Anolis sagrei: one gene and its partners. The protein of the gene in region 4 purifies or fractionates together with the protein of the main gene of each other region. This does not show direct contact. Links are inferred from orthologs where the notes say so. Each region holds a gene or a part of one and is shown on either strand. Other genes may lie near its edges. The genes, in order: NOP58, EPC2, NOPCHAP1 and RUVBL2.

Region 1 (7,747 bases), on a different chromosome or scaffold from region 4:
TTTGAATTATAAATGGATGCCCCCAACTCTTGACTACGCACAAAGTAAATATCATGCCAACAAGACCCCAGCACCGCATTCCTAACCTCTCTACCCAGCAGCATTTTCTTGGGCTTTCAGAATAAAAGTCTAATTGGCAGTATAGTACAAGGTGCCATTTTATATAATTACAGTAAATTTACACCCAATTTTTAAACAATGAAAATATTCTGAACTCCTTTATATCCTGATATCTACTTCTTGGGAGCTTTGTTCTCATTCTCCTATCTGTCAGGTTCCATGCTCTCCCCCTACCCCTCAAAACCAGTACAACACTTGACTTTCTGTTCTCTATAGAATTTTCCAGGGAAACTCGGGGCAAAACACAACCTGCATGAAACTTTAGAACTGAGAGGAGATCAGGGCCTGTTACTTAACTGAACAGACCACTCCTGCGTATCTCTCAAACATCAACTTCAAAATTACAAGAAAACTGTCCACAGAGCATCCCTACCTAGTGAATAATGCAACCTGAAAATGCCTTTTTGAGATATCTGTATCAAGTGCAAAATCAATTCTGTTCTAAGCACCATATGTTATTCACCTCTATGTGTTCAGTAGGCATAATTCCCAGACTCACTTTTTCCTCCACTTCCAGCATTATTTTTCAGACGATCTTGCAGTAATCTCATTACATCACAGTTGGATCACTAGCAAAATCCCAATCAAGTAGGTTGCCATACACAAAATCTGTATTTTTGTTTACCTAGCTACTGTATACAAAACAGCATTCCGAGCACAAAGAAAAACTAAAACTAGGTATGGTGGCAGAAATTGATGCAACCTTCTACACTGTCACATAAAATCCAGGTTATTGGCTTTGAATTGGATTATATGGCAGTATACTCATATAATCCAGTTCAAAGCAGGTAATGTGGAGTATCTGCTCTGATATTCTGGACTATATGGCAATGTAGAAGAGGCTAGTGATGATACAAACCATGAGGCCCCATCTTCACTGCCATATAATCCCTTATCTGAATGGCTCCTTCTATATTGCCCTATATTCAAGGTCCTGATTCCAGATCACCCAATTTAATCTGGATTACTGCATGAGTCTCCACTGCCAGATAATTTGGGACAAGCAAATAATCTGGGACCAGATCCTGGGATATAGGGCAGTGTGGAAGGAGCCCTAGTGATTAAGATGGAGGATATAATAAAGTTTCACCCCAGTTAAACAGCCTTGGCGGAATCCTGGGAGTTGTAGTTTAGCAAGCCTCCTCTGCCAAGGAGTGTTAGGCATTCATTAAACTTAAAATCTCAGGACTTCATTGCATTGAGCCATGGCAGTTAAAGTGGGGTCAAGTTACATTAATTCTGCAGTGTAGATTCACCCTGTGAAACCCATGGTTCAAATTTCTACTCTGCCCTGAATTCTACAGCTCATTTTAGAGAACCATATATATATGGTTCTCTAAAATGAGCTGTAGAATTCAGGGCAGAGTAGAAATTTGAACCATGGGTACCATTTGAACCATATATATATGGTTCTCTAAAATGAGCTGTAGAATTCAGGGCAGAGTAGAAATTTGAACCATGGGTACCATTTGAACCATATATATATGGTTCTCTAAAATGAGCTGTAGAATTCAGGGCAGAGTAGAAATTTGAACCATGGGTTTCACAGGGTGAATCTACACTGCAGAATTAATGTAACTTGACCCCACTTTAACTGCCATGGCTCAATGCAATGAAGTCCTGAGATTTAAATTTAATGAATTTATATAAAGTTAGTTTGTTTCAGTTTCTGTCTTACAATAGAGAAGATACATGTACTTGCCTGAGGAGACTGCTAGCTTGAATTAAGACAGTATAATGTACTGCAGACTTCCTCAAATGGTAGCCCTCCACCCATTTGGGCCACCAACTTCCAGAATCCCTCACCACTGAACAAGCTGGATAGGACTTCTGAGGGGTGGAGGGCTGATATTTGAGGAGGCCTGCTGTACAGTGTGCCCTTAGTATGTGTTGGGTCTTTGGTTCCAGAACATTCTGTCTGTGGGTCCTTCCACACAGCCATATAACCCGGAATATCATGGTTGATAATCTACAGTATCTGCTTTGAACTGGGGTTATCTGACTTAACACTGCCGTATAACCCAGTTCAATGTGGATTTTATACAGCTGTGTGGAAGGAGCCCTGGAACAGCAAAGCAGATAATCCACAATCCAGTTTAAAGCAAACCGTATTATCTGAGTTGTTGTAGGTTTTTTCGGGCTGTATGGCGATAGTCTAGAGGCATTCTCTCTTGACGTTTCACCTGCATCTATGGCAAGCATCCTCAGAGGTAGTGAGTTCTGTTGGAACTAGGAAAAAGGGTTTATATATCTGTGGAATAACCAGGGTGAGACAAAGGACTCTTGACTGCTGGAGCTAGGTGTGAATGTTTCAACTGAGCACCTTGATTACCATACAATGGGCTGACTGTGCCTGGAGCAAACTTTTGTTGAGGGGTGATTAGATGTCCTTGTTTGTTTCCTCTCTGTTGTTTTGCTGTTGTAATTTTAGAGTTTTTTAATACTGGTAGTCAGATTTTGTTCATTTTCATGGTTTCCTCCTTTCTGTTGAAATTGTCCACATGCTTGTGTATTTCAATGGCTTCTCTGTGTAGTCTGACATGGTGGTTGTGAGAGTAGTCCAGCATTTCTGTGTTCTCAAATAATATGCTGTGTCCAGGTTGGTTCATCAGGTGCTCTGCTCAGGCTGACTTCTCTGGTTGAAGCAGTCTGCAGTGCCTTTCATGTTCCTTGATTCGTGTTTGGGCGCTGCGTTTGTGTATTATCTGAGTCCATACTGCCATATACTCCAACTCAATGTGGATTTTGTACAGCTGTGTGGAAGGAGCCCCAGAATATAAAGGCAGATAATCCACAATCCAGTTTAAAGCAAACCATATTATCTGAGTCCGTACTGCCATATACCCCAGCTCAATGTGGATTTTATACAGCTGTGTGGAAGGAGGCCTGTAAGAGCAGTGGAACTCTCTGCCTCGGAATGTGGTGAAAGATTGGATGGCCATCTGTCGGGGTAGTTTGATTGTGCTTTTCCTGCATGGCAGAAGGGGGTTGAACTAGAAGGCCAACTCTATTACTCCCTTTGGACACCAAAATCCGTGGATGCTCAGGCCCCATTACATACAATGGGGTCGCAAAATGGTGTGTCCCTGAGATTAAAGGGCAAACCTCCAGGTTTGATTTGGGAATGTTTTCAAAAGGTTGAATCCGTGAATATGGAGGACCAACTGTACTGACTCTGGACATATTATACAACAATACTACTCCCAAGGAAAGCTGAAGTTATTTCAAATTAGTACTGAGGCGGGAAGGGAAAGCCCTTCCCGGATGTAAAGGCCTTCCCTCCCCTCAGACGCCTCTAAAGCTGGATTGCCCAGCCAATTCTACCCGGCCGAGGGAGCACATGGCGGAGGAAGCGCGGCGCTCACCTTGAAAATGGCGTACCCGGCCGCCGTCTCGAAGAGAACCAGCATGGCGGCGCCGGCCCGAAGACGGAGCTCCCCAGGAACAACCAAGAGAGAGCCGGGCGCGCGAGCCCCCGACTGCCAGGTACGAAGCACGCGCGCAAAGAAACAGGCGCACGAGAGCGGAAATGGCGCCTCGCCGGAAATGCTTCTCGCGGGGCCTTCTGGGAAAGCTGCTGAGGGTGGAAGTGGGCGGGGACATAAAAAAAAAAACCCTAAGGGTTACATCTTCATAGTGTCCGACCTTGACGTCGGGTTCTCGAGTCGAGATTCAATACAAACTACTAACAGGACTTTTTTTGTGTATTTATTTAAAGAAAGACATGATCTTGTGAGGGGAAAAAAGCAAATAAATACAAATTTAGCGAAATTGCAGCCACGCTTTGGCGAAGGGCGCTTTTGAGAATAGAGATGAAGAGAGTGGGATTATTCCAAAATTGAGATCCCACGACCTGATCCCAGAATATCTGCTTTGAATTGGATTAAGTGAGTCTACACCGCCAGAAAATCTGGGATAAACAGATAATCTGGGATCAGATCCTGGAATATTGCACACTAGCCGTCCCCTGCCATGCGTAGCTGTGGCCCAGTCTGGTGATCTGGAAAATAAAGTAATAAGAAAGTTACTTTCTCACTACCTCTGAGGACGCCATAGATGCAGGCAAAACGTCAGGAGAGAATGCCTCTAGACCATGGCCATATAGCCCGAAAAAACCTACAACAACCCAGTGATTCCGGCCGCGAAAGCCTTCGACAATACAGGGTTAGTCAAAATGAATAGGCCAATAAGAAAATTAATTTTAGACGAATGTATGTTTATTGTAACCAAACTACAGCTACGTATCGACAGATAAATTATCAAAGTTTTGTCTCACCTTCAGAGATGTTCGATATGGGCGCCCCGTGTGACACGGCAGACGTCCAAGCGATAGTCCAGTTCATTCCACATCCGTTGCAGCACATCTGACGTAATGGCATCGAATGCAGCACATATGCGCTGTTTTAAGTCGTCCAAGGTCAGCGGTAATGGAGGTCGGAACACAGTGTCTTTCACATACCCCCAGAAAGAAAAGTCGCATGGTGTGAGGTCGGGGGACCTGGGGGGCCACAGGAGGAATGGAAGATCAGTCACTCCAGCACGGCCAATCCAACGTCTGGGAAGGTGTTCGTTGAGGTACTCGCATACACTGTTGTGCCAATGCGGAGGGGCACCGTCCTGTTGGAATACGAAATCGGGCACTTTCTCTTCTAACTGTGGCATCAACCATTCAGACAACATGTCAGCGTACACTATGCCTGTTACGGTTTTCTCCGCGAAAAAGAATGGGCCAAACACGTGACGGTTGGTTATTGCACAGAAAACGTTTACCTTCGGCGAATCCCTTACATGTTCCAATACGGCATGAGGATTTTCAGATCCCCAAAAGCGGAGATTATGCCTATTGACCTTCCCGCACAGGTGAAACGTTGCCTCGTCACTGAAGACCAGTCTGTTGGCAAAGCCTTCCTCCTCTAGTCTTCGCTGCATTGATTCGCAAAAATCGTGTCGTTTCGAATAGTCACCTTTTTTCAAAGCCTGCACCATTTGCAATTTATACGGCTTGAACTGCAAACGTTTGCGTAACACGCGCCACACAGTTTTTTGCGGAACGTTCAATTCCATGGCAACACGATTTGTCGACTTCTGGGGACTTCGTTGAAAGGATGCACGAATGGATTCCACTGTGTCTTCGGAGACACGCGGTCGTCCTGTGGTTTTACCCTTGCATAAGCAGCCCGTCTCCTCAAATTGCTTTACCCACCTCGCAATGGAATGTCGATGAGGTGGTTCCTTGCCATACTTGGCTCGAAATTCTCGCTGGACCGTAATTACTGACATTGTTTTAGCAAATGTCATCACACAAAACGCCTTCTCTTTGCCTGATTCCGCCATTTTGAAAACAGCGACTCCTAGCGACGCCTAGCGGCATTAACGTACATGTGTGTTGCTCAAAAAAACTTTGATAGTTTATCTGTCGCTACGTAGCTGTGGTTTGGTTACAGTAAACATACATTCGGCTACAATTAATTTTCTTATTGGCCTATTCATTTTGACTAACCCTGTATAATGAGTAATGATTATAAAGTATATAAAGTATATAAATAAAGTAATGAGAAAGTGTTGGTTTCTAATATATGTCATTTCTTTCTGCTTGTGGGTAAACAGTATTTTATTACGTTTTCTTGCCCTGGTGAAGGGAGTTGGACTGGATAGCCTTAAGTATTTTCTATTGGCCATTTTCTATTGGTTCCGTGTGGGAAGTTTGCCCTGATTCTGTCATTCGTGATGTTCAGAATTCTCTTTGATTGTAGGTGAACTGTGAATCCCTGTTGTCTCCTGCTGCCTTGTTATTAGCAATGCTTCTTAAGGCCCATTCAACCTCACTCCTCAGGATATCTGGTTCTAATTCACTCACCACACCATCAAAGCTGTCATCGATATTATTATCCTTCCTGTACAGATGTTCTGTATAGTCTCGCCACCTTCTCTTGATCTCTTCAGCTTCTGTTAAATCCTTGCCATCTTTGTTTTTGATCATGCCCATTTTTACCTGAAATTTACCTCCGATGTTTCTAATTTTCTGGAAGAGGTTTCTTGGACGTCCTACTCTATTGTCTTCTTCCACTTCCATGCATTGCTTGTTTCAAAATAGTTCCTTATCTCTTCTGGATAACCTCTGGAATTGTCTATGGCTGGATGGCTCTTTGTCAGGAGGACTTTGATTAAGTTTTCTTGCCCTGATGAAGGGAGTTGGATTGGATGGTCTTAAGTATTTTCCGTTGGTCATGAGGGTTTTGTGTGAGAAGTTTGCCCCGATTCAGTTGCTCGTGGGGTTCAGAATGCTCTTTGATTGTAGGTGAACTGTGAATCCCAGTGACTACAACTCCCAAATGTCAAGGTCTATTTTCCCCAAACTCCATCTGTGTTCATATTTGGGCGTACTGAGTGCTTGTGCCAAGTTTGGTCCAGATCCATCATTGTTTGAGTCCACAGTGCTGTCTGGATGTAGGTGAACTACAACTCCCAAACTGTTGGGGTTCAGCCTGAGTTTGAACTTGAACCTGATTCTCTGTTTGTTCCTCCTGATGCTAATGAAAGTATATTTACTGATGCTAGTGGAAATGTACCTTTTGATGCCAATGCTCCTGAAATTAGTGAGGAAGAAACTGCTGTAGGTTTGGAAAATGCCAATGTTCCTGAAATTAGTGAGGAAGGAACTTCTGTAGATTTGGAAAATGAAAGTACCAGTGTTCATGAGAACGTTTCAGAGGGAGACCTTGAAATTTCCCTCCCTTCTTCACCTGCTAACTGTAATGACAACAGAAGGGGCCAAATTTGGGAAGACAGAAGTAAATCACTCAGTTTGCGTCGATCCTCCCTAATTCAAGAATTAAAAACATTGGCTTCAAAAAAGAAGGGCGGTTCACGGAACGAATTCTTGAGTTTTAATTGCACGCCGGGCTGATTGTCTCAGTTCAGGCTTCGTTTCAGAATTGATTAAGACCTTGGCAGTTCTCCCGGTTCCCTGGCCATAGTTTGGGAAGATTCTAGGATATCAAGTACGGTTAGTGGATTGCTAACAGGTTCCAGTATATCCCAGTGAGGCTTTTGGTTTTGCTTTGTCCATTTAAATTAATGTTTGCTGATTTTGCTGTGGCTTTTGACTTGCATTTTTCCTTTATTTTGTAACCATTTTTCTTCAATAAAAAAGGATTGTTTTTCACAGCCAAGTGTGGTGGATAGTAATCTTAGGGCCTCGTTCCCTGCTCTGGATTGCAACACAAACTCAAGGTCAATGCCCAACAAACCCTTTCAATATTTTCTGTTGGTCATGGGAGTTCTGTGTCCCGAGTTTGGCTCAATTCCATCATTGGTGGAATTCAGAATGCTCTTTGGTTGTAGGTGAACTATAAATCCCAGCAACTACAACTCCCAAATGACAAAATCATAATTTTTTGAGTGTGATGGTCACTCCTTGTGTAGTGAGACGTTTTGTTGCCAAATTTGGTGTGATTTTGTTCATTGGTTCTTTTGTTTTTAAGGTACTCATTATGCACAGAGCATTTATATATAGATAAATTATTATTATGAGGGTTACTCCATTTCTTCAGTGTTCCTCATGTCCATCGTAGTAAATCTGGTGGTCATCTGTTATGGAGTGGCCTATTTCAATCCATTTCAGTTC
Region 2 (7,937 bases), on a different chromosome or scaffold from region 4:
GTAGGTAAGCACTATCATTGGCTACCTCCTACAATGCTTCAACAATCAATTTCTTCTCTTTAGCTATATCTTTCTAGTTTCTATCTAGCTTGTAAAATATGCCACCAAAACAACCTCCTAAGTCTTTCAGTTAATTGGCAATTCAGTTATCTTTCTGGCTGTTAACAATAGATTTGTAAGAACTCATTTACAGACAACTAGAGGCAATGAAGGTGTGACTAAGATTCATTGTAATGATAACTTAAGAAGTAATGTGTTGTCCAAGGCTTTCATGGCCAGAATCACTGGGTTGCTGTGAATTTTCCAGGCTGTATGGTTATGTTCCAGAAGCATTCTCTCCCGATGTTTCACCTGCATCTATGGCAGGCATCCTCAGAAGTTGTGAGGTCTGTTGGAAACGAGGTAATTAGGGTTTATATATTCAGGGTGAGAGAAAGAACTCATGTCTGTTTGAGGCAAGTGTTAATGTAACAATTGGACACCTTGATTAGCATTAAATCACCTTTCAGCTTCAAGGCTTGGTTGGTTGCTGCCCGAGGAAATCCTTTATTGAGAGGTGTTAGCTGGCCCTGACTGATTTGTGTCTGGAATTCCTATATTTTCTGAGTGTTGTTCTTTATTTACTGCGCTGATTTTGGAGGTTGTTTTTTTTTAAAAAAAATACTGGCAGCCAGATTTTGTTCATTTTCATGGTTGCCTCCTTTCTGTTGAAATTGTCCACATGCTTGTGGATTTCAATGGCTTCCCTGTGTTGTCTGACATGGTGGTTGTTCAAGTGGCCCAGTATTTCTGTGTTCTCAAATAATATGCTGTGTCCAGGTTGGTTCATCAAATGCTCTGCTACGGCTGATTTATCTGTTTGAGGTAGTCTACAGTGCCTTTCATGTTCCTTGATTCGTGTTTGGGCAATGCTGCAATGTTTGGGCAATGGTCCCTATGTAGACTTGTCCACAACTGCATGGTATATGGTAGACTTCTGCAGAAGTGAGAGGATCCCTCTTGTCCTTTGCTGAATGAAGCATCTGTTGGATTTTTCTTAATGAGTCTGTAGACCGTTTGTAGTTTGTGTTTCTTTATCAGCTCTCCTATGCAGTCAATTGTTCCCTTGTCTGGCAGTAAGCAGCCAGACTTTGAAGCTGAAAGGCTATTCAATGCTAATATAAGGTGGCCAACTGCAACATTCACACTTGTCTCAAGCAGACAAGAGTTCTTTCTCCCACCCTGGACATGCCACAGATATATAAATTCCTAGTTTCCAACAGACTTTTTTCGGGCTGTATGTCCATGTTGTAGTAGCATTCTTTGGCAGGCATCCTCAGAGGTTTCTTCTTGCACTACTTTGTGTGTCTTTCTGTCCAGTGGCCACTATAGAATGAATGCAGTTTGCCACCATCATTTTTAGCTGCCAAGACCCATTGTTCCGGAATCCTGGGAGTTGTAGTTTTACGAGCTCTCTAGCCTTCTCTGCCCGAGAGCGGCAGTGCTTCACCAAACTTCAATTCCCAGGATTCGATAGCATTGAGAGATGGACATTAAAGTGGTATCAAACTGCATTTATTCTACAATGTATATGCACCCTAACTTTTCAGCAAAACACACATTTGCTATCTCTATCTATTTATCTATCTATGTGGATTTAATGTCCATAATAATTGCATGATTTTTAAAAGCTTCTATCTATTATGTGCATTTATTTTTAAATCTGCCTTGGGCTATTTATGTGCACTTTGTCCCAAAGGACATCAGCTTGTAGCATCCAGATGCTTAAAGTAACTGATAATATTTACTTGTTAGAGAGTATTTAAGTGTTGAGAGACATTGCTAGGAGCAAGGGTTTTGGTATTGGAAAAGTGCTTTGGAAAATAATGAAAACCTTCCTATTAATGTGCAGCAAATCTCAGCCTCGGAGGAAGATGGCAAATCTCCATCCAATGAATTTTGTCAAGAAAATCCTGGTAGTTCCTATCAAATATTTCAAGACATAATTTGTGGGAATTTAAGGTGTAGTTAAAATAAAACTACACCTTAAAAGTCTATTAGCAGCTTAGCGGGTTAAACCGCTAAGCTGCAGAACTTGCCGACCGGAAGGTTGGCGTTTGAATCCGCAAGATGGGGTGAGCTCTCATTGCTAGCCCCAGCTTCTGCCAACCTAGCAGTTCAAAAACATGCAAATGTGAGCATAATAAATAGATAGGAAAGTAATGGTGCTTCATGCACTCATGACCTAGGAGGTGTCTATGGACAACGCCGGCTCTTTGGCTTAGAAATGGAGATGAGCACTACCCTCCAGAGTTGGACTCAATTAGACTTAATATTAAGGAGAAACCTTTACCTTTACATAAACTAAAAAAAAGTTTGATTGAAAATGTTTTTTCAATCAAAAGGAGTTACTTATAAATTTTAAAAAAGCTATGACAACTAAATTTGATATTTGAATCAGAAGCATAGCTATTTATTTTGAGAGTAGTTTTCTGAGCTGTCACTAGAGCACATACCACAATACCCACACTTTGCTTTCCCCCCGCATTGTTCTGCATCTCACCCATTTAGTGTCCTCGGTTATCATTCTGATGTTGTCTCCCTTCTTTTTTGTCAAGCAACCTTCATGCAACCTTCATGAAGCTAAACAGACCATACTGTTCGGCTTGGCTGAAAATAGTGCTCCAGCAACCCACGTTTGTCGAGGTTCTCTGTCCATATCAATCCTCAACCCCCATGTCTATTTTCCTTTGATGGCAATGACTGTGGCCAATGGCTTGTTTTAAGATCTATTCACTGTGTATCACGCAATATTACAAAACTGAGATAAAATGTGAAATTTTATCTCACTCTTCCACTTTAAGAAATATCAGAGATAGATAAGTCCTTTCTTAAAATGCTAGGCTCGTGTGCAGATGGCAAATAATTCAACACTTGTTTCAGTATAATTTTATGAGAATAAATGAAAGAGTGTATCTACACTGTAGAATGAATGCAGTTCGGCACCACTTTAATTGCCATGGCTCAATCTATATATATATTAGTCTGAGAGTGTCTCTCATATATATATGTGTGTGTGTGTGTGTGTGTGTGTGTATACATTTACTTTTTTAGTCTCTCTGAGTATCTCTCAATTATGTGTGTGTTTATATATATACTGTATATGTGTGTGTGTTTATATATATACACATATATGACAGTCTAAAAAAGTAATTATATATATATATATATATATATATAATTACTTTTTTAGACTGTCTGTCATATATGTGTGTGTGTATACACTTTTAGCCTCTGAGTGACTCGCAGTTGTGTGTGTGTGTGTATATATATATATAATTTACTTTTTTAGACTGTCTCTCATATGTGTGTGTGTATTTGCTCTTTTAGTCTAAGAGTGTCTCTCAATTATGTGTGTGTATATATATTACTTTTTTAGACTGAGTGTCTCTCATATATGTGTGTGTGTATTTACTCTTTTAGACTCTCAGAGATTGTCTCTTAATTACGTGAGTGTGTATATTTACTTTTTTAGACTGAGTGTCTCATGTATATATATGTATGTGTGTGTGTATTTACATTTTAGTCTGAGAGTGACTCTCATTTATATGTGTGTATATATATATGTATATAAAATTTACTTTTTAGAGTGCCTCATATGTGTGTGTGTATTTACTTTTTAGTCTGACAGTGTCTTTCAATTATGTGTGTGTATATATATATATATTAATTACTTTTTAAGTCTGAGTCTCTCATATATGTGTGTGTGTGTTTATTCTTTTAGTCTGAAAGTGTATCTCATGAGTGTATGTGTGTGTGTGTGTGTGTATATATATATATATATATATATATATATATATATATATACTTTTTAGAGTCTCTCTCATATATATATGTGTGTGTGTGTTTATTTACATACTGGCCATCCCCTGCCACACGTTGCTGTTGCCCAGTCTGTGTATGTGTTTTGTCTGTGTATTTGTGTATATATGTGGTTTTGTGCATGCATTGTATGTTTTTTTTAAGTCTCTTCTGCTGTGTTTTTCAGTGTTTTTATGAGTGGTGGTCACTCATTGGCCTGATAGGTGCCTTGTGTCCAGATTTGTGCCCCCACATTACTACCCATTGCACACACCATATCTATATATGTCTATTTATTTGTGTGTGTGTGTGTGTAGGAGAGACAATTTCAGACTAAAAAAAAGTAAATGTTAATTTGTCTATATAAATAAAAATGTAATGTTCATTTGTGGGATTAACATAACTCAAAAACACATATAGAGCTAAATTAACATTTACTTTTTGAGTCTGAAAGTGTCTTTGGTAAACACACACACACAAATATATATAGATATACAGTGTGCAATGGTTATTAATGGCTTTTCCCTGGGAGCATCCCAGTGTGGTCCATTCCCCTTAATTCCTCCAGCCTCTCTCTCTCTCATTCGCCCAGCCTTCCCTTTCTCTCTCCCCTTCGCGAGGCAAGGCTGCGCGCGCACCCTCCCCCCCCTCCTCCTCCTCTAGTCCCCCCTCCCTCTCTCCTTCTCTTTCTCTTTTTTTTCTTTCCTCCTCCTCCTCCTCCTCCTCCTCGGAGAGCGCCCCCTCCCCTCCCCTCCGCCCGCGCGCGCTCTCTCTCCCTCTCCTTCTCGTTCTGTGTGTGTGTCTCGCGCTCTCGCTCTCGCGTTGGCTGCCGGGATCGCTGGCCGCTTTGGTTAATGTCCGCCATGTTTGCCATGGCGCAGGGAGCGGGTCGAGCGCGGAGCTAGGGCTGCGGGCGGCTCTGGGCGGCGGGGCTCTCCATGGTGTGTCGGGCCGGGTCCGGGAGCGGCTGGGAGGCGGCGGAGGAGGCCGAGGAGGCGGCGGAGGAGGCGGGCGCGGCGCCGCCGTCGTCGTAGCGCAGCCCCCCTCCCTTCCGCGCCCCCCCCTCCCTGCCTGCCTCCGGGTGCTGGTTGTGAGGGAGCGACACCATGAGCAAACTCTCCTTCCGCGCCCGGGCGCTAGACGCCGCCAAACCGCTGCCCATCTACCGCGGCAAGGACATGCCCGACCTCAACGACTGCGTCTCCATCAACCGCGCCGTGCCGCAGATGCCCACCGGCATGGAGAAGGAGGAGGAATCGGTGAGCCAGGGCTGAGGGCCAGGGGCTGGGGTTGGGGCTGGGGGGGGGGGGCTGGAGTGCGCCGCCGCCGCCATTGTTTATCAGGCCTTTCCCCCTCCCTCCCCTCGCGGGGGAAGGAGGCCATTGGCATTCACCAAGCGCCGCTACGCACGCTCCCCGCCGCTGCGGCGCGCGCTCCCTATGGGGTCCTACGCCAGCGGCGCAGCGTAAGCCCCGCTCCGGCACCGTAAGCCGGGCCTGCCTCCGCCATCTTCTTGGCGGAGTGTTTTGATGAGCGGAGGTGGGGAGGGGGGGCCCTCGCGCTACTGCCGTAAGAGGAGAGCAGCGCAGGCAGAGGCCCTGAATAGCAAAGAGAGCGCGCCGGGCGCTGCTGGCGGAGAGCGCGAGGCCTCCAGCCCCGGCTCCTCGCCGAATCTTGATGCAGAAGGCCCTGCCTGCTTCCTTGCTTGCTTGTTGTGTCCATGCTGACGCCGGCTTGTGAAAGTTTAAAAGTAGCCAGGCCTTAGGGAAGTGAGGTGGTTTTTTACGTCCTGTTTCCACAGGATCGGAATGCAACCTCGTTGTATCTATGAGGCAGTGGATGTGTTTGTATACAAATGCACACACACACACACTGGGGCTTTGATGCGTTTCTGTATGATCGTTGAGTCTATTAGGCAGGGAATGTGTTTGTATACAAATGCACACATACACTAGTGCCCCCGTGAATTTGTGGATACTTTTAATGCAACAACGTTGTGTTTACTAGGCGGTGAATATGTTTGTATACACTCACTGGGGCTTTGATGCATTTTATGATTTTCATGCAACATTGTTGTGTCTATTAGGCATTGGATTTGTTTGTATACAAATGCACACACACTGGAGCTTTGATTCATTTATATATGATTTTCATGCAACATTGTTGTGTCTATTAGGCATTGGATATGTTTGTATACACATGCACACACACACTGGAGCTTTGATGCATTTCTGTGTGATCGTTGAGTCTATTAGGCAGGGAATGTGTTTGTATACAAATGCTGGATAGTTTTAATGCAACAACGTTGTGTGTTTACTAGGCGGTAAATATGTTTGTATACACTCACTGGGGCTTTGATGCCTTTTATGATTTTCATGCAACATTGTTGTGTTTACTAGTCAGTGAATGTGCTGTATACAAATGTGCACATACACTGGTGCCCTGGTATATTTGTGTATACTTTTAATGCAACAACATTCTGTTTACTAGGTAGTGAATATATTTATATACAAATGCAGACATGCACTGGTGCTTTGAAGTATTATTTATAATTTTAATGCAGTGTTGTTCTGTCTATTAGGCAGTGGATGTGTTTGTATACAAATTTACACATACTGGTGCCCAGGTGTATTTGTGTATACTTTTAATGCACCAATGTTGTGTTAACTAGGCAGTGGATGTGATTGTATACACATGCACACACACACTGGGGTTTTCATGCATTTCTATGTGATTTTAATGAAATGCCGTTGTGTTTACTAGTCAGTGAATGTGTTTGTTTACAAATGCACACATATACAGGTGCTTTGAAGTGTTTTGTTCTAAGAGTGGTTCTCAACCTGTGGGTCCCCAGGTGTTTTGGCCTACAACTCCCAGAAATCCCAGACAGTTTACCACTGTTGGGATTTCTGGGAGTTGAAGGCCAAAACATCTGGGGACTCACAGGTTGAGAACCACTGTGTTATAATTTTAATGCAACATTGTTGTGTCTATTAGGCAGTAAATATGTTTTTATGCAAATGCACACATATACTGGTGCCCCAATGTATTTGTGTATACCTTTAATGCAACAATGTGTTATTAGGCAGTTGATGTGTTTGTATGCAAATACAGATACTCATTGGTGCTTTGATGTATTTCTGTATAATTTTATGCAACATTGTTGTGTCTGTTAGGCAGTGAATGTGTGTGTATACAAATGTGCCCATACACTGGTGCCCTGGTATATTTGTGTATACTTTTAATGCAACATTGTTGTGTTTACTAGGTAGTGGATATTTTTGTATACAGTTACACACATATACTGGTGCTTTGATGTATTTCTGTATGGGTTTAAAGAAGCAATGTTGCAGCTACTAGGCAGTGAATATGTGTGTATGTATACAAATACATGTACTGTTTCGCTGATGTATTTCTATATGATTTTAATGAAACAACCTGTCTAATAGGCAGTAAATGTATTTGTATACAAATACACATATGTATTGGCACACTGATGGAGTACCTTTCCATTCTCAGGTTATAGGGAACAGGGAGTTTAAACTGTCAGTAGTTTTGCTTGTTTGTGTAAAACACAAATAAAAATGTCCTGTCTCTGTGATTTGTGCTTATACATGTTAGTAAACAATCTTTGCTTATATTGTTTCTTTCTGTAACTGAAACAAAATTGTTTGCACAATCCTGTACATGTGTCTTGCAGATCATTATTTTTACCAGACTTAATCCCAAACATATATGTGTAAGATCAGCAGGATTGTCGAAGTGGAATCAAAAACAGATCTTTGAGTTAGTGTACACTGATAGGTAGGAGGAAGAATTAGGTTTGTATTGTTCTTATTGTTTTTATCGATTTTATCGATTTTATTGGGATAATGGCTTGAATTGTGGGAACTTTGAATTGTTGTACTTTTGTGATGATTGTTGTGTGGCAGGCATCTAAGTGTGCCTTGCTGTTGTAAGCTGCCCTGGGTCCCCTTCGGGGTGAGAAGGGCGGGGTACAAGAACCCCAAATAAATAAATAAATAAATATGTGTGCATAAAATTGCAGCCTGAAAACTAATTGTCAAAGACCACTGGTGCAGTTGGAACTGAACTGA
Region 3 (7,829 bases), on a different chromosome or scaffold from region 4:
TTGTCATTTGCACTGGCCATCTGTGGTAGAAAGGTCTGGACTCTATCCAAAACTAAAATATGAAAAAGTGTTTGTAGAAATATTAATGTACTTCTGTGTAGGAAAAGTGGGCAGAGAATTTACTCTATTTGTATCCTGCCTTTCTCTACCCCGAAGGGGACTCAAGGCGGCTTTACATATGGCAACTATTCAATGGCTTTGAATAGTTAAAATAAATTTAAGTTAAAAATTAAAATTAAATGCACATTAAAACATATAAAACATTGCATTCACTATTAAAATCACCCCATCCCCAAATCATAATCCGGGGCCGTTCCAAAGATCCACTGCACATATTTTGAGTATTGTAAAGTCCATAATCTATTGGAAATTCCAGTGCACCATAACCTCATTGCAAAGGTAGATATGATGTTACCTCTGTTTGGCAAAATCTCCCTGAACATAGAGATCATCTAAAAACCACAAGTCAAGTATGGTGGGCCTTGTTAGAAGTCAACCCTTAAGACAATTCATATTCATAAAGTATTAATGTAATAGCACATACAAGTTGCTCAGCTGTTAAACTGAGATCCACGTCTTTAAACGACCAAGAATAAAGACAGGCCACTACAAAAATGTATCTGGTTAGCAGAGGATGGTTGTTTGAAGTAGAATTTGCAATTGTAATTGCGGTTGCCTAAAAGATATACACGCCCTTAAAACATGTACTCAAGAGACAAAACAGTCTTATTTGAAAAATAACATATCTTGTTTACTAAGAAACTTGTATATATTCAGTATACAAAAACATAGTCTTTTAAGTGTCTTTAAGTATATCTGTACTTACTCAAATCCATGAGCACACACATCCACCTCCAATGAGGTCTGAAACCAAACTTATCGCATTGAAGTCCATAAGCATACATCTACCTCCAAAAGAAAACATTCACCTTCAATGTTCAAAAGCATACTAAACACAAAATTGAGTCCTGAGTTTGCACATGCTCAGTATAACCACATGTATAACTCCTCCCATATCAAAGAGGTCAGCCAAACTGGAAAATCAACATACACATAGAATACAGGTTAACAATTGTATACATTAACAAACAGTTAGTGGAGGCTTGGAAGGTTGCTATTTCCAACATTGAGGCTATTATTGCACTACAGATGAAACATCCTTAATGATGTTCAGTACTTACTATTGCTCCTTGGCAGTCTGGCTGTCTGTAAGCTTGTGGCTTTCTTTTTAGCATGATTTGAATTGAGCAGCAGTCTCTTATGAATACCTGTAATCCAGAAACTTCACATCAGTTGAGTAGGCACACACTGACTGTACTATTTGTACGTGTGTGTGTGTGTATGGGGGGGGGGGGGGGACTTTACCATATTGCAGATAAGCTAGTACACTAAATGTATTTGTCACATAGCCCCCATCTATATAGACCATTTAATGCAGTTTCAAACAAGTTTTTGAAGGAAGTGCTTTGGCTGTGCACACGAACTCCCTCCCCAGTGAGATCAGATCAGCCTCCTCCCTCCTGGTATTTAGGAAAAAAGTTAAAACTTGGTTGTGTAAGCAAGCAGGCATTCGCTGAGTGACAGAATTGCAGTATAACATTTAATCATGATACAGATATAAATGAAACAGCCAAATGACGACTATAGGATTGGTGTAATGTTCAATATATTTTATGATGTTTTAATATCTTTAATATGTTTTAATATGTTTTAATGGTTTTAATTTGTATTTATATGTCTATTGATTATGTTATGTACTGCTTCCCCCCCCCCCCCCTTATGTATTATGTGGCATTGAATTTTACCAAACTGTAAGCCGCTCTGAGTCCTCTTCAGGGTGAGATGGTGTGGGACAGAAATATAGTAACTAAATAGTAAACAATACATATGAAATTCTGGAATCAGTTTGAGGTCTAGATGGCGATTATGCAAACTGATGTCCATTAAGGGCTTTCTTTTACATGCTTTCATGGGTGTTTCTTGCTTGGCTGTTGCAGTTTGATGCTAGCTTCCGAATGAATTAAATTGTCAGTGTAGATGGAGCTATACTCCATGCAGCACTATTTCGTGATATTTGAATACTACAGGTAATAGTAGTGCAGCACTGAAGGTACAATTCATTTTCATGTATCTGAAATATTACTAAACAGTACACTCTCTAATATAAGTAATATCCATATTTTATTATTTTATTCATTTATATCTCTTTGCCCCTCTAGGGCTCAAGATGCCTTATGAAAGTGTTAATAGAAATAGTTAAAAGTGCACATAACAGAAAAGTTTAACAGCAACAAATATAGACAATACAGCACATTATTCAAGGCCATGAGGAATATGTGTATTACAATATGAAAAGACATGTACAACTTCCCAGTGGCGCAATGGGTTAAACCTTTGCACAGGTTTAAATCTGGGGAGAGCGTGAGTGAGCTCCCTCTGTCAGCTCCAGCTCTCCATGCTCCCACAAGGAAATACAACATCAAAACATCCAGGCGTCCCCTGGGCAATGTCCTTGCAGACAGCCAATTCTCTCACATGAGAAGTGACTTGTAGTTTCTCAAGTAGCTCCTGACACAAACAAAAATTAAATGTATAAGACTTCAGTTGCCCTCTACACCAGGCATGGGCAAACTTGGGCCCTCCAGGTGTTTTGGACTTCAACTCCCACAATTCCTAAGAGCCGGTAGGCTGTTAGGAATTGTGGGAGTTGAAGTCCAAAACACCTGGAGGGCCCAAGTTTGCCCACGCCTGCTCTACACTGTAGAATTAATGCAGTTCGATATAATTTCAACTGGCTCAATGCTATGGGATAATGAGAGTTGTACTTTGGTAAGGCACCAGGCAGAGAAGGCTAAAGGTTTGCCAGAGAAGGCTAAAGATCTCGTAAAACTACAACATCTCCTGATTCCATAGTATTGAGCCATGGTAGTTAAAATGGGATCAAACTGCATTAAATTCTACAGTGTAGAGAGGGCACCAATAGCTGTAAAAGCAGGATACTGAGTAATGAAGCCAAAGGAATGGAAAAGGGTGAGAGCCAATATGCAGGATGCTTTCTCCCTCCACCTCAGCTACCTCCTCGGCTCCCCACAGAAAGGAGGTCTTGGGACACCTTCAGTGGCACGCTGCCTTCTTTGCACGCCATTCGCCTCCTCCTCTTCCAAATGAAACCGGAACAAGAGAGAGGAAAGCAGAAGGGAGCAGCACAAAGCAATCTGGAGGCTTCTGTGGTAGCGCCACCTACAGGACAACGAGGTTATTGGATGGCTACGAGTCTAATCTATCTATCTATCTATCTATCTATCTATCTATCTATCTATCTATCTATCTATCTATCTATCTATCTATCTATCTATCTATCTATCTATCTATCTATCTATCTATCTATCTATCTATCTATAAATGCTCTGTGTATAATGAGTACCTTAAAAACAAAAGAACCAAATTTGGCAACAAAATGTCTCACTACACAAGGAGTGACCATCACTCAAAAAATTATGATTTTGTCATTTGGGAGTTGCAGTTGCTGGGATTTATAGTTCACCTATAATCGGAGAGCATTCTGAACTCCATCAGCGATGGAATTGAACCAAACTTGGCACACAGGACTCCCCTGACCAACAGAAAACACTAGAAGGGTTTGGTGGGCATTGACCTTGGGTTTTGGAGTTGTAGTTCACCTACATCTAGAGAGCACTGTGGACTCAAACAATGATGGATCTGGACCAAACTTGGCACGAATACTCAATATGCCCAAATATAAACACAGATGGAGTTTGGGAGAAACAGACCTTGACATTTGGGAGTTGTAGTTACTGGGATTTCTAGTTCACCTAGAATCAAAGAATATGCTGAACCCCACCAACAACAGAATTGGGGCAAACATCCCACACAGAACCCCCATGACCAACAGAAAATGTAGCCAGGGGGAGGGGGGGCTTGAAGGGCTTCAGCCCCCCCCCCCCCCGAAATTCTCATGGTGGTTCGCGAAAAGGCCTTACTGGTGCATTATTTAAACTGTTATGTTTATTCATATCATGATCTGATCGCCATACTCAATATATCCCATATGTATGGGGGTATTGGGGTAATGATACAAAAGGTTTGCTAGGCTAGACCCTCTTTCACTCAGACTCAGCCCCCCCCCCAAACTCAGCCCCCCCGAACCCCCCCTGAAAAAAAATTACCCCCCCCCCCCGAAACGAAATCCTGGCTACGGGCCTGCTTGTATCCCACCCTTCTCACCCCGAAGGGGACTCAGAGCGACCTTACAAAGGCAATGATTCAATGCTACACACACATATATATTGATAAATACATATATATATATATATATTGATAAATAAACTATTCATTAAAATAAAAAACAATTAAAAACATCAACATTAAAACATCAATTAAAATCACACAAGCCAAGTCATACTCTAGGGCTATTCTATTCGTCATTGTGTTATTTTGTAATCTCTTATCGCACTGCTCAAATTTACTGACCAAAGGTTTGGTCCCAAAGCCATGGTTTTCGTTTTTTCCTGAAGGTCAAGAGGGAGGGGCGGATCTAATCTATCTGGGGAGAGAGTTCGATGAACGAGAGGCCACCACTAAGAAGGCCCTGTCTCTTGTCCCCACCAACCTAATCTGGGAAGGAGGTAGAAGATAAAATGTGACTGTTTCTTAGTTGTGCATATTCTATTGAACATATGCATTTCATTTTCATCTGATTACACTAATTTGTTCTCTTTTGGCCAGCAAGCTCAGATCTTACTAAAATATTACGGGTGGGGTGAGGAGGTTTGAATCCAAAAGGAACATTAAAGTGCAGAGAAGACAAGATTGTTCTTTGCACAGATTTTTATACTATCATAGGATAATAGATTCAGAAGAGATTGCAAGGGCCATCCAATCCAATCTGCTGCCATGCAGGAAAAACACAATCAAAGCACTATATTCATGGTCCAATCCTATGCTTTTCTACTCCAAAGTCTCATTGTTTAATTAAATTTTCATAAGTATTATTATTCAAAATAAAATAAATGAAAATTAAATTTATTTTGAGACTGAAGTGTAAATCAGATATAAGTATGCATGGGTACTCATTGTAGGAAAGGTCTCATATGAAAATGTGTGCTGGTACGGCTGTACCAGGAGCTCCAACTTTATTTCTTTCTCTTAAAGTTTGCAGTTATAGGGCAGGCATCCTGTCCATCTTAATTAAGCTTTGGTTCCGCCCCTTGTTCAGGCTTCTGGGAGGGAAAGGAGCCATTTTGGGCAGTCTCACACAAGGTAGCTAAGCTATAGGACGTAGACCAGCTCGTCCCATAGAAAAGCTTCCTTTCTTAAGAGCATCCAGGGAAAAGGAACATTCAGGGATACAGAAACAGAAATTCCAGGGGAAAGGTCCCAAAGGCTCTGGCTGAGCGCTCACAGCCTCTCAGCCCCACAGCATCAGAGGGAAACAGCCCTGAAGTTCTCAAAGAATTCTCGGAGGGAGGATAACATTACAGATCCACTGAACTCCAGCTGAAATATCTTCAAGCTTTGGCTGGTAGGTCTACTTGATACCCAGACGCACTTGTATTTGGTAGTAGCACCCACACCAATGAGGCATAGATAGAAAGCAGCCTGTGAGAGGTTAAAAGGGGTTTTTCCTACAGAGAAGGTTCAGTTGATCAAAGTCAGGTACCAGTCCAGACCAGACTGGACTAAGAAAGCCTTGAAGTGTTATTTGAACCTTTGAAGATTTGTTGTTTGTTCCATAATAAAGACTTTGTTGTATCATTAAAGACTCTAAAGACCATCACTTCAGAAAAATCCCTGAGAACTTCTCTTTGAGGCCCCCTGGCTTCCCGCTGGGCTTAAAGTATATGTCCTATAGAAAAGTACAGCTGTTACAGGCCCAGCGCACAACAGAACAAAATGTCTGAAAGGTATTAAAAGATATTAAAAAGATCTGATTTAGCAGATAATTGTTGTGCCACTACTACTACTATTATTATTGTTCTTGTTGTTTGCTTAGCTTTATCCCACCTTCTCTTGATATAGAGACCCAAGGGGCTATTATATTTAAAAAAATTATATACATGTGCTGAAGTACTGTTTAAAAAAGCATTTTCTTCCAGTGGTCATCAAAGCTGTTTATGATTCAAATCCATTGCTGATAAGGTTTTTTATCATGTCAATGCTTTTACTATAGTTTCTTCATCTCGTTCCATCATTTTAATTATTTTTAATTTTATTGCAATTCATATTTATGTTTAGATATGAGCTTTATTTTAGCACAGAAAAATTGAATTAAGGGTGGAAGAGGTAGATTCATGATGTCACGGTCCTATCAGCTTGTATTACAGGTGTATTTTCTGTAAACGCACAGAACCGGTATTTCTTGTGTTTGACTGCAGAGATAAAAGTATTTACATTCAGTCTAACAAAGTGATAGCATATGTTCTGTAGCAAGAGTGGAAAGGGGAAATGGCTCTTTTAGTGGTTGTATAGAAGAGGAAAGTCCAGCAGATGTTACTTGATACGCAACCAGATTACAAGCAGTTCCCTATTGACATTCCCTATTCTATACAACCTTTGAAAGAGAAGAGACTATTGCTAGTGTTCACTCTGGCAGTCTTATCCCACAAAATAAACCTCATTTACTTCGATAGGACTTATTCTCTGGCCAGTTGGGAGTAAAAGCCATTAACTTTGATGGGATTAATTTATCATTAGACATGCACAGAATTATATTACAAGAGTTCCTTTGTAGCTGAAAGACTTTTATCAGTCAAGATACTCATAAAGTTCCTTTTCCAAAAATGAAACTGTAAGAGAGATAACTTAAATACAATAAAGTGCAGAGTAACCAGAAAACTTCAAGCTATTTTGAAGCTCTGTTCATAGAAAAGAAAACCCCTGCTTGACTCAAAACTCAGGCAGGTAAGTAAATCATATTAGTGAAAGATATGAAAATTTGGAAGTGATAACATTTCTTGTGTTGCAGCAAAAATACAACGAAGAGGCTCAGGCTAACTGGAAAGCGTTTAAGTTTATTTTTTTAAATTGAGTAATTTGGAGTCAGAGGAGGTAAAGACAATTCCCAAATTACACTGACTCCTCGATTATCAAACAAGATAGACTCTTATAGTCTTTTGCCAAGCGTGGTACAGAAGCAAAAAAAAAAAAAAAACCCAAAAAAAACGCAACCTCAAAATTAACATATCTGGGGCCCCTTCCACACAGCTGAATAAAATCTCGCATTATCTGCTTTGAACTGGACTATATGGCAGTATGGACTCAAATATCCCAGTTCAAAGCAGATATTGTGAGATTTTCTACCTTGATATCCTGGGTTATATGGGTGTGTGGAAGGGGCCTGGCCTTTGAGTGGTGGCCTCCTCTCTGCTATTACCCTTCGTAATTCTAAAATTAGCTAAAACCACAAATGTTCAGTCTACAAAAATAGGATATATGCCAAACCACAACTTCACAGGTACATCTTTATCTATACTTTTACATTTTTTGTGGCTAGACTGCTTGTCTAGCACAAGAACATATTTTTAGACTTGTATTACTATGCTGAGGAAAAGCTAGAAGAAAGTATTTACACATTATTTTGATTATTATGCTAGCTCCAACATTTGCAGTTCTTTAAATCAAAAGCAAGAGACAAATTGTTCCTGTCTACTGGTCAGAAGATTGTAACCTTGACATCATGCAAATGTGCTTCCTGCAGTGCAATGTGATTCATATTTTAATGTTTCAGTGCTGTTTCCTTGTTCTGAACAGACTACCTGTCCATTTAGCACAGCTAAAACTGTTTGTCCACCGGGGTTTCATAAGTACTT
Region 4 (8,281 bases):
TTCTGAATCCAGAAACTTGATTTTTTTTCCCAAAAGAAATGAACCCACTGATTATCTGAATCCACACTGCCATGTAATCCAGCTCAATGTGGATTTCACACAGCTGTCTGGAAGAGGCCTGGGAGGACTAGACAAGTATACGAACCACTTACGCTATAATATCTTCCTCTTTGGAAGAATCTATTATTATTATTCTGACACAAAAGCACAGTATGTCACAGCAAACGAGATCTACATGCTGGATTTCGTATCAAAAATCACAAATCGAACACTTCCCAAGTGTCTAGGACTGTGTGATGTATTTTCGAATGATGCACACAGATCCAAGTAAGGTGGCCTTTTGTAGTTGATAGATCGTGATTTTGTTGATGTTTATTGTTTCCAAATGCCGGCTGGGATCTTTTGGCACGGCACCCAGTACGCCAATGACCACTGGGACCACCTGTACTGGTTTATGCCAGAGCCTTTGCAGTTCAATTTTGAGGTCCTGAGAGTGGCAGAGTTTTTCCTGCTGTTTTTCCTCAGTGTAACTGTCACCTGGTATGGCGACATCAATAATTCAAACTTTTTTCTTTTCCACAATCGTGATGTCAGGTGTATTGTGTTCCAACACTTTGTCAGTCTGGATTCGAAAGTCCAACAGTATTTTTGCATGTTCATTTTCCACAACCTTTGCGGGTTTATGGTCCCACCAATTCTTTACTGCTGGCAGGTGGTACTTGTGACATAAGTTCCAGTGAATCATTTGGGCCACAGAGTTGTGTCTTTGTTTGTACTCCATCTGTGCGATTTTCTTGCAACAACTGAGGATATGATCTATGGTTTCATCAGCTTCCTTGCACAGTCTACTTTTTGGACCATCAGCTGATTTTTCAATCCAGGCCTTAATTGCATTGGTTCTGATTATTATTATTATTATTATTATTATTATTATTATTATAAAACTACATTTATACCCCACCCTTCTCTCCCCAATTGGGGGACTCAGGGCTGCTTTCAGACCATGGCATACAATGCCGCATTACACATATAAAATATATCAATTTAAACAATTAGCATATCAATTATCAATTAAAACATACGGTACTAAACGTGACATACCAATTAAACAATTCAAATATAAATACAATAAGAAGCTTCAAAGCAAACATTCAATCCCAACCAAAGTGGGCTGATGACATATCAATTAAACAATTCTATCAAAATACAATAAAACATCTTAAAAGTAAACATTTAATCCCAACCAAAGTGGGCTGATGGAATAATAATAATAATAATAATAATAATAATAATACTTTATTTATACCCCTCTACCATCTGCCAAGGGACTCGGTGCGGCTTACATGAGGCCGAGACCACAATACATCAATACAAGCAATAGCAATTACAAAACAAAACAAAATACAAATACTAATACAAAGCAATTAAAATAAATCTCATACACAAAACAGCATAAACATTGAACAGTGGCACAAAACACATTTAAAAACTATGGCTGGGCCAAATGTAATTAAGTTAAAAATAATGCTGGGCATGAACAAGGTAGAGGAGGTGGGGCGTTGGGGAAACGTACAAGCAGTCCTAAATCAGTATAAAGTGCTTTGGAGGACATAATGCTAAGGCAGGGGTCTTCAAACTTTTTAAGCAGAGGGCCAGGTCACAGTCCCTCAAACTGTTGGAGGGCTGGATTATAATTTGGGGAAAAAAATGAATGAATTCCTATGCACACATCTTATTTGTAGTGCAAAAAACCCACTTTAAAGCATTACAATAATTAAAATGAAGAACCATTTTAACAAGTATAAACTTATTAGTATTCCAGTGGTATGTGTGGGCTTGCTTTTGGCTGATGAGATTGTTGTTTTGGCGGGTTGTTGTTGTTGTTGTTGTTGTGTGCTTTCAAGTAATTTCAGACTTAATGTATTGTCGAAGGCTTTCATGGCTGGAATCACTAGGTTCTTGTGGGTTTTTTCGGGCTATATGGCCATGTTCTAGAGGCATTTCTCCTGACGTTTCGCCTGCATCTATGGCAAGCATCCTCAGAGGTGACCCTCACCTCTGAGGATGCTTGCCATAGATGCAGGTGAAACGTCAGGAGAAATGCCTCTAGAACATGGCCATATAGCCCGAAAAAACCCACAAGAACCTAATTTCAGACTTAGGTTGACCCTGAGTGAGGGCTGGGTAAATGACCTTGGGGGGCCATATTCGGCCCTCGGGCCTTAGTTTAAGGACCCGTGTGCTAATGGTTCATTATTCTGTGAAAGCACACTGGAACAACCACGTCTTCAAGCTTCTCCTAAAGACTGCCAGAGTTGGGGCATACTTGATGTCCTTAGGGAGTGAGTTCCAGAGTCGAGGGGCCACCACCAAGAAGGCCCTCTCTCTTGTCCTCACCAATTGCGCTTGCGATGCAGGTGGGAGCGCGAGTAGGGCCTCTCCAGATGATCGAAGAGATCATGTGGGTTCGTACACAGAAATAAGTGGCCACAAGCAGCAGGCAATCTACACAGTAGAATTAATGCTGTTTGACAGCACTTAAACTGCCATGGCAATACTGGGAGTTGTAGTTTGTTGAAGCAGAGAAGTCTAAAGGACTTCTAAAATGACAACGACGAGGATTCAACAGCAGTGGGCTGTGGTTGATAAAGTGGTGTCAAACTGCATTCATTCTACAGCAGGCATGGGCAAACTTGGGCCTTCCTCCAGGTGTTTTGAACTCCAACTCCCACCATTCCTAACAGCCTCAGGCCCTTTCCTTTCCCCCCTCAGCCGCTTAAGCGGCTGAGGGGGGAAAGGAAGGGGCCTGAGGCTGTTAGGAATGGTGGGAGTTGGAGTCCAAAACACCTGGAGGAAGGCCCAAGTTTGCCCAAGCCTATTCTAAAGTATAGTAATACACCTACAACACTGCAGGCCTCTGATAAACTACATAGCCAAAGATAAGAGGTGATGATGGGAGTTACACTCCCAACAAAACCGGGGAATGCTTGCTCTGGCATTCCTCTCACAAGTTAGAAGAAAAAGAAAGTAATCAGATGCTAAACTCGTATAAAAGAAGGATGATCCGGGTATTTTCAAAGGAGGGAAACAAGGCTGTCGCTCACCGACACCGTTGCCATGCTGCTGCTCCCGCCGTCTCTCGCGCCGTCTCTAAGCGGCAGCCGGCCCTGCCTCCTCAGCACCGGAAACAGGAAGCGGCCTCAGCTTTCAGGGCGCTCTGTCCGAGGCAACGTCTATGCTCCCTCAGTCCTCCAGTAGTCCTTGCTGTAGTAATAGTCATTCCAGCTCAGCTGTGTACAAGGTGTCTGTGAAGTCTCTTTACCAGTTTATTAAAAGAGGCTTTAAATGTTGTTATGTTTATTTACCCTGATAATTAATTAATGAGTTAAATATCTAAGAAGCTAGACATAATGCAACCTGTCTAATTATGTTAGAGCAAGCATGGGCAAACTTGGGCCTTCCTCCAGGTGTTTTGGACTGCAACTCCCACAATTCCTAACAGCCTACCGGCTGTTAGGAATTGTGGGAGTTGCAGTCCAAAACACCTGGAGGAAGGCCCAAGTTTGCCCATGCATGTGCTAGACTGCTGGGATTTGACATCCACATTGTTGCCCAGGCCTGCTTTCTCCCTTCTCCAGCTCTGAGAAGGCCCATCTCACAATTTTTCCATGGCAACAGTAGACATACTCTATTTGCAGCTTCCCTCCTTCCTCCATCTACCTCATACAGCTTCTCACCTCTTCATTCTTTCCTCTCTTCCTTCCTTTATCCCTTCTTGTGTCCAATTCTGGGCACCACAGTTTAAGGGAGATATTGACAAGCTGGAATGTGTCCAGAGGAGGGCGACTAAAATGATCAAGGGTCTGGAGAACAAGCCCTATGAGGAGCGGCTTAAGGAGCTGGGCATGTTTAGCCTGAAGAAGAGAAGGCTGAGAGGAGATATGATAGCCATGTATAAATATGAGAGGAAGCCACAGGGATGAGGGAGCAAGCTTGTTTTCTGCTTCCTTGGAGACTAGGACGTGAAACAATGGCTTCAAACTACATGTCCATCTGAACATGAGGAAGAATTCCTGACTGTGAGAGCCGTTCAGCAGTGGAACTCTCTGCCCCGGAGTGTGGTGGAGGCTCCTTCTTTGGAAGCTTTTAAATAGAGACTGGATGGCCATCTGTCAGGGGTGATTTGAATGCAATATTCCTGCTTCTTGGCAGGGGGTTGGACTGGATGGCCCATGAGGTCTCTTCCAACTCTTTGATTCTATGATTCTTTCTTCTCATCCTTTCTCTTTCCTTTCACTTCCTTCCCTCCTTTTTCTTTCACCCTTTCTTTCCTTCCTTTCCCTTCTTTTTCTGCTACCCCACTTTTTCTCTACAAGGAGACTCATGTTCAAACGCAAACACATGTTCTAACTGTTTCTATGGCGGTATATTTCTAGTTATCTACTTCTAACTCTTTGCTTTACTGGGAAATTTATAGTGAACATTGCTATTTTATGACACCATACTTTAGGGTTCTTTCTGCCTTCATTTCAGTTGAAAACCACTTCAAAAAAAGTCCTGTTTAAATATAGTTAGCCATACGATAAATTTTATATGAAAGCATGCACAAAGCAAAAGGAAAACTGATGTGACAAAAGGGGAAATTATCAAGAATGAAGCAACATCTACCAATAAAAGTTTTGAGGATTTTTTTCAGATTAAAATATTTTATTTTAAAATAAACAGTGCTTCAGAGAAGCTTTCGGCATTTCACAGAAACACACCCAAATCCCTGAGTTTGTGGGATAAATTAAGAGATTTGCAGTAAAATTCTGTACATTTTCACACTGTGTTTTCACATTGTTTGTAGCTTGCAAGTACATTTTGAACAGGATACATTTTCCATGTATAGTAGGACCCCCATATCCACTGGGATATAACCGAATGCCATTAAATCACATGACTTCCATATCAAAGCGATGCACTAGAGCAGTGGTTCTCAACCTGTAGGTCCCCAGGTGTTTTGGCCTACAACTCTCAGAAATCCCAGCCAGTTTACCAGCTGCTAGCATTTCTGTAAGTTGAAGGCCAAAACATCTGGGGACTTACAGGTTGAGAACCACTACACTAGAGGATCTAGAGATTCCTATAGAAGAGTAGTTCTCAATCTGTGGGTCCCCAGATGTTTTGGCCTTCAACTCGCAGACATCTTAACATCTGCTAAACTGGCTGGGATTTCTGGGAGTTGTAGGCCAAAACACCTGGCAAGCCACAGGTTGGGAACTACTGCTATAGAAATATAATCTCTAGGAATTCACTAGGTCCTCCAATGCAACCCTATGGTAACTTCCAGGGAAAGCATACTATAGAATCACCTGGAAAACCTAGCAAATTCCCAGAGAGAGACCATTATTCCTCTGCTGTGGATAAGTGAAGCCATGGATATAAGTTCCATGTTTATAGGGATCTTACAGTATTGATTCCACTTTTCAAAAGCTCCCATAAAATCAAGAAAATTAACAAGCAATAAAACAACACAATAAATATATATATATTTAAAAACAGCAAAACAAAGAAAAGTCACACATAGAAACCAGAACTAACTCTTATAAAAAAAAACTTGGGAAAGCAACAGTTGGCACATGTAAAATAAAGTGAGCACAAAAGCCTTACTTTGAGCTACTGCTTATCCTACTGCCATAAAACAGCTTCTAAGGAAAGCCTCAATTTCCAGAGATATTTATCACAGAACAAGGTTGTAATTTAAGGTCCTCTTACATTACAACCCTTTGCATATTTCCTTGAGAATAAGGTAGCATTTGGAAATTAGTTACACAGCAACATATTGCACTGTCCCAAAAAGCAATGACATTTTCATGGGTGAGGAGAGGACTATGTCCTTCCTTTTAATCCTAGAAATCTCAATGTTTCATTTCCTTTTTTTTTAAGTACAGCTTTCCCTAATCTTTTGTCCACTAGATCATCTGAAATGCAACTTGCATTAGCATGGAAAACTTGGCCTATGGTCAAGGAGGGTGGGAGCTGTACAGTCATCCTTTCACATTTGCTGGGGTTAGGCAAAAGTGAAAAATAAAAATAAATGGCTTTTTTAAAACTTCAGATAATACCTCTCTAGGAATTTCGATATCCTCCAGCATGACACTATGTGAACTTTCACTATGTGAAATTGACCATAGAATCGCATGGAAGACCTACAGTTTGTTTTTAGAGAGGTGTTCTCTGTATGACTCTCTGAGGTCACATTTCAAACACAAGGCTTGCGGGCTGAATCTGGCCCACCATGTCCTTTTATGTGGCCCTCCAGAAGGTGGACTACAACTCCTGTATTCCGTACCATGAGACATCATGTCTAGAGTTGATGGGAGTTGGGATACAGCAGCATCTGAAAGGCTGCAGTTTGTCCTGTTGAGTCAGGAGAGTGGAGTTTTAGATACAAGGCCTGTGGATATAATGCCCTTTAACCTTTCCAACCTCAGGGTGACAAGTGCTGTTGGGTTGCAATCTCCATTATCCACAGTCTGTATAGCAGATAATCAAAAGTGATTATAGTTGTTCAATAACATCTGACAACCCAGACTGGGTAAAAACTAAAGAGCACTAACCAATATGTGTGTGTGTGTGTGTGTGTTTGTATATAGATAGATAGATAGATAGATAGATAGATAGTGTTGACACTATATATGAATGAATTCAACACCCATGGATTCAACAGCCCTTTGAAGGCAACCACAAGGCTGATGTGGCCCTCGATGAACCTCAAGGCTGATGTGGCCCTCGAGTTTGACACCCTTGTTCTATGTCAGGCATATGCAAACTTTGGTCCTCCAGGTGTATTGGACTTCAATTCCCATCATTCCTAACAGTCTCAGGCCCCTTCCTTTTCCCCCTACATCTAGAGGGCCAAAGTTTGCATATGCCTGTTCTACGTCCTCCCAACATGACTCTACAGTCAACATCCAACAAAGTTAATCACAGAGTTATACTGGAGGATGGAGAGAATCCTAGAACATTTTAATCAAATCCGCAAATGTCGGATCCACAAACGTGTAGGGCGACTGTAATTCAGATATCTAAAGGGCACCAGGTTGGGGGAATCTGTCGCAGAGAATAAACCAGCACATCTAACAAGTCCTTTTTTTTTTACATTAGCAAAGTAAAATTTCATGCAATTTGTCTGACTCTTCCTTTCTCCTTCATTTAAAGTGTCATCATCAAAAATAAAAACCCAAATTTTACAAGAACTGTCTTGTCTTATATACACAGTTCGTCAAGTAGTGCAATTGTTGATGTCATTCACAACGGATCAATGCCGATTTCTTGATCCCAGAAGTACAGTAAAAGCCAAACTCTACCTAGTGTTCATAAGACAACTTCTTTCCTTGATTGGCTTTCACTTTGGAAGAGGAGGAAGTGGAATCTTTCTTGAGGATTTTTTTAATAAAAAAAGCTAATAGTTCCACCAGCAGTCATTTTTTAAAAACAAAACTCCCAAAGGCTCTTCTGTCTCCCATCTTTGGCACTGATTGAGAACTAGTCGAGCTGCAGGTCAAATATTTCTTCTTGGTTTACAATTTTCTCCTAAAGGGAAAGAAATACATATTATAATTGCCAGTCACTTCCACAGCATCTCAATATAACATATTCTGTGCAGTCTTTGAAACATTCTTCAGTCAGGCAACAGCCCCTTCAATGTAAAAGGAAATCCTGAAATTGGGACCTCGGGATGCAACCTGCCCTGAGGAATTAGCGTCCTTTACAAATGGCATGACACAAGGGCAGAATCAAATGGGAAGACACTGAATTCTAGAATCTAGGCTAACTCTTTAAAGTTTTCATAATACAGAAAAGGGGAAAGAAACTCTACTCTGGGCAAATCTAGCATGGGGTTCTCTTGACAAGACTGTCCAAAATATTAAAAATTAGCCAGGTATTTTTAATTACAAAAAATGTGAGTCAAGCACTGAAAGGGTTAAATGGGTGCAATAACTCAGCAAAAGCTGCAGTTCAATATAAGCAGGTGTCCCTGTAGCTTAGTAGCCCTCGGTCTGTAAGAGATCTCTGTGGAAGAAGGACCTCAGTGTGTTAGTTCGCCTTAGTGGGAGAAAAGCCTCAGTGTGAGATGGGCCACAGTGTTAGTAGGCTTCAATATGAGAACGCCTCAGTGTGAGAGGAAGCTCCAGTGTGAAGGCTGCTGTGTTTAAAAAGCTAGTGTGGATATAAATATTTTTTGCTAAGTATGGGCTCTTCTTTACAGTATCTATTAGAAATACATAGGGATATT

What was found.
Region 1: the proteins of RUVBL2 (region 4) and NOP58 purify together in Homo sapiens (affinity purification with mass spectrometry; 5 studies listed by BioGRID and IntAct, with this or other methods). This does not show direct contact. The link is inferred for Anolis sagrei from reciprocal best matches to the Homo sapiens genes RUVBL2 and NOP58.
Region 2: the proteins of RUVBL2 (region 4) and EPC2 purify together in Homo sapiens (co-immunoprecipitation; 4 studies listed by BioGRID and IntAct, counting the BioPlex papers as one, with this or other methods). This does not show direct contact. The link is inferred for Anolis sagrei from reciprocal best matches to the Homo sapiens genes RUVBL2 and EPC2.
Region 3: the proteins of RUVBL2 (region 4) and NOPCHAP1 purify together in Homo sapiens (affinity purification with mass spectrometry; 4 studies listed by BioGRID and IntAct, with this or other methods). This does not show direct contact. The link is inferred for Anolis sagrei from reciprocal best matches to the Homo sapiens genes RUVBL2 and NOPCHAP1.

The regions. Positions count from the first base shown.
Region 1 is NC_090021.1:165,264,927-165,272,673, reverse strand, and holds the start of NOP58 (nucleolar protein 58), read right to left. Parts: upstream 3,678-7,747; 5' UTR 3,531-3,677; coding exon 3,486-3,530; intron 1-3,485. UniProt on the Homo sapiens protein: Required for the biogenesis of box C/D snoRNAs such as U3, U8 and U14 snoRNAs. Part of the small subunit (SSU) processome, first precursor of the small eukaryotic ribosomal subunit.
Region 2 is NC_090021.1:206,271,978-206,279,914, reverse strand, and holds the start of EPC2 (enhancer of polycomb homolog 2), read left to right. Parts: upstream 1-4,638; 5' UTR 4,639-4,946; coding exon 4,947-5,099; intron 5,100-7,937. UniProt on the Homo sapiens protein: May play a role in transcription or DNA repair.
Region 3 is NC_090025.1:170,239,271-170,247,099, forward strand, and holds the start of NOPCHAP1 (NOP protein chaperone 1), read right to left. Parts: upstream 3,166-7,829; 5' UTR 3,146-3,165; coding exon 3,076-3,145; intron 1,269-3,075; coding exon 1,182-1,268; intron 53-1,181; coding exon 1-52. UniProt on the Homo sapiens protein: Client-loading PAQosome/R2TP complex cofactor that selects NOP58 to promote box C/D small nucleolar ribonucleoprotein (snoRNP) assembly. Acts as a bridge between NOP58 and the R2TP complex via RUVBL1:RUVBL2.
Region 4 is NC_090026.1:28,230,269-28,238,549, reverse strand, and holds the start of RUVBL2 (ruvB-like 2), read right to left. Parts: upstream 3,186-8,281; 5' UTR 3,120-3,185; coding exon 3,105-3,119; intron 1-3,104. Other genes in the region: BCL2L12 (bcl-2-like protein 12), read right to left, coding at 7,531-7,578. UniProt on the Homo sapiens protein: Possesses single-stranded DNA-stimulated ATPase and ATP-dependent DNA helicase (5' to 3') activity; hexamerization is thought to be critical for ATP hydrolysis and adjacent subunits in the ring-like structure contribute to the ATPase activity.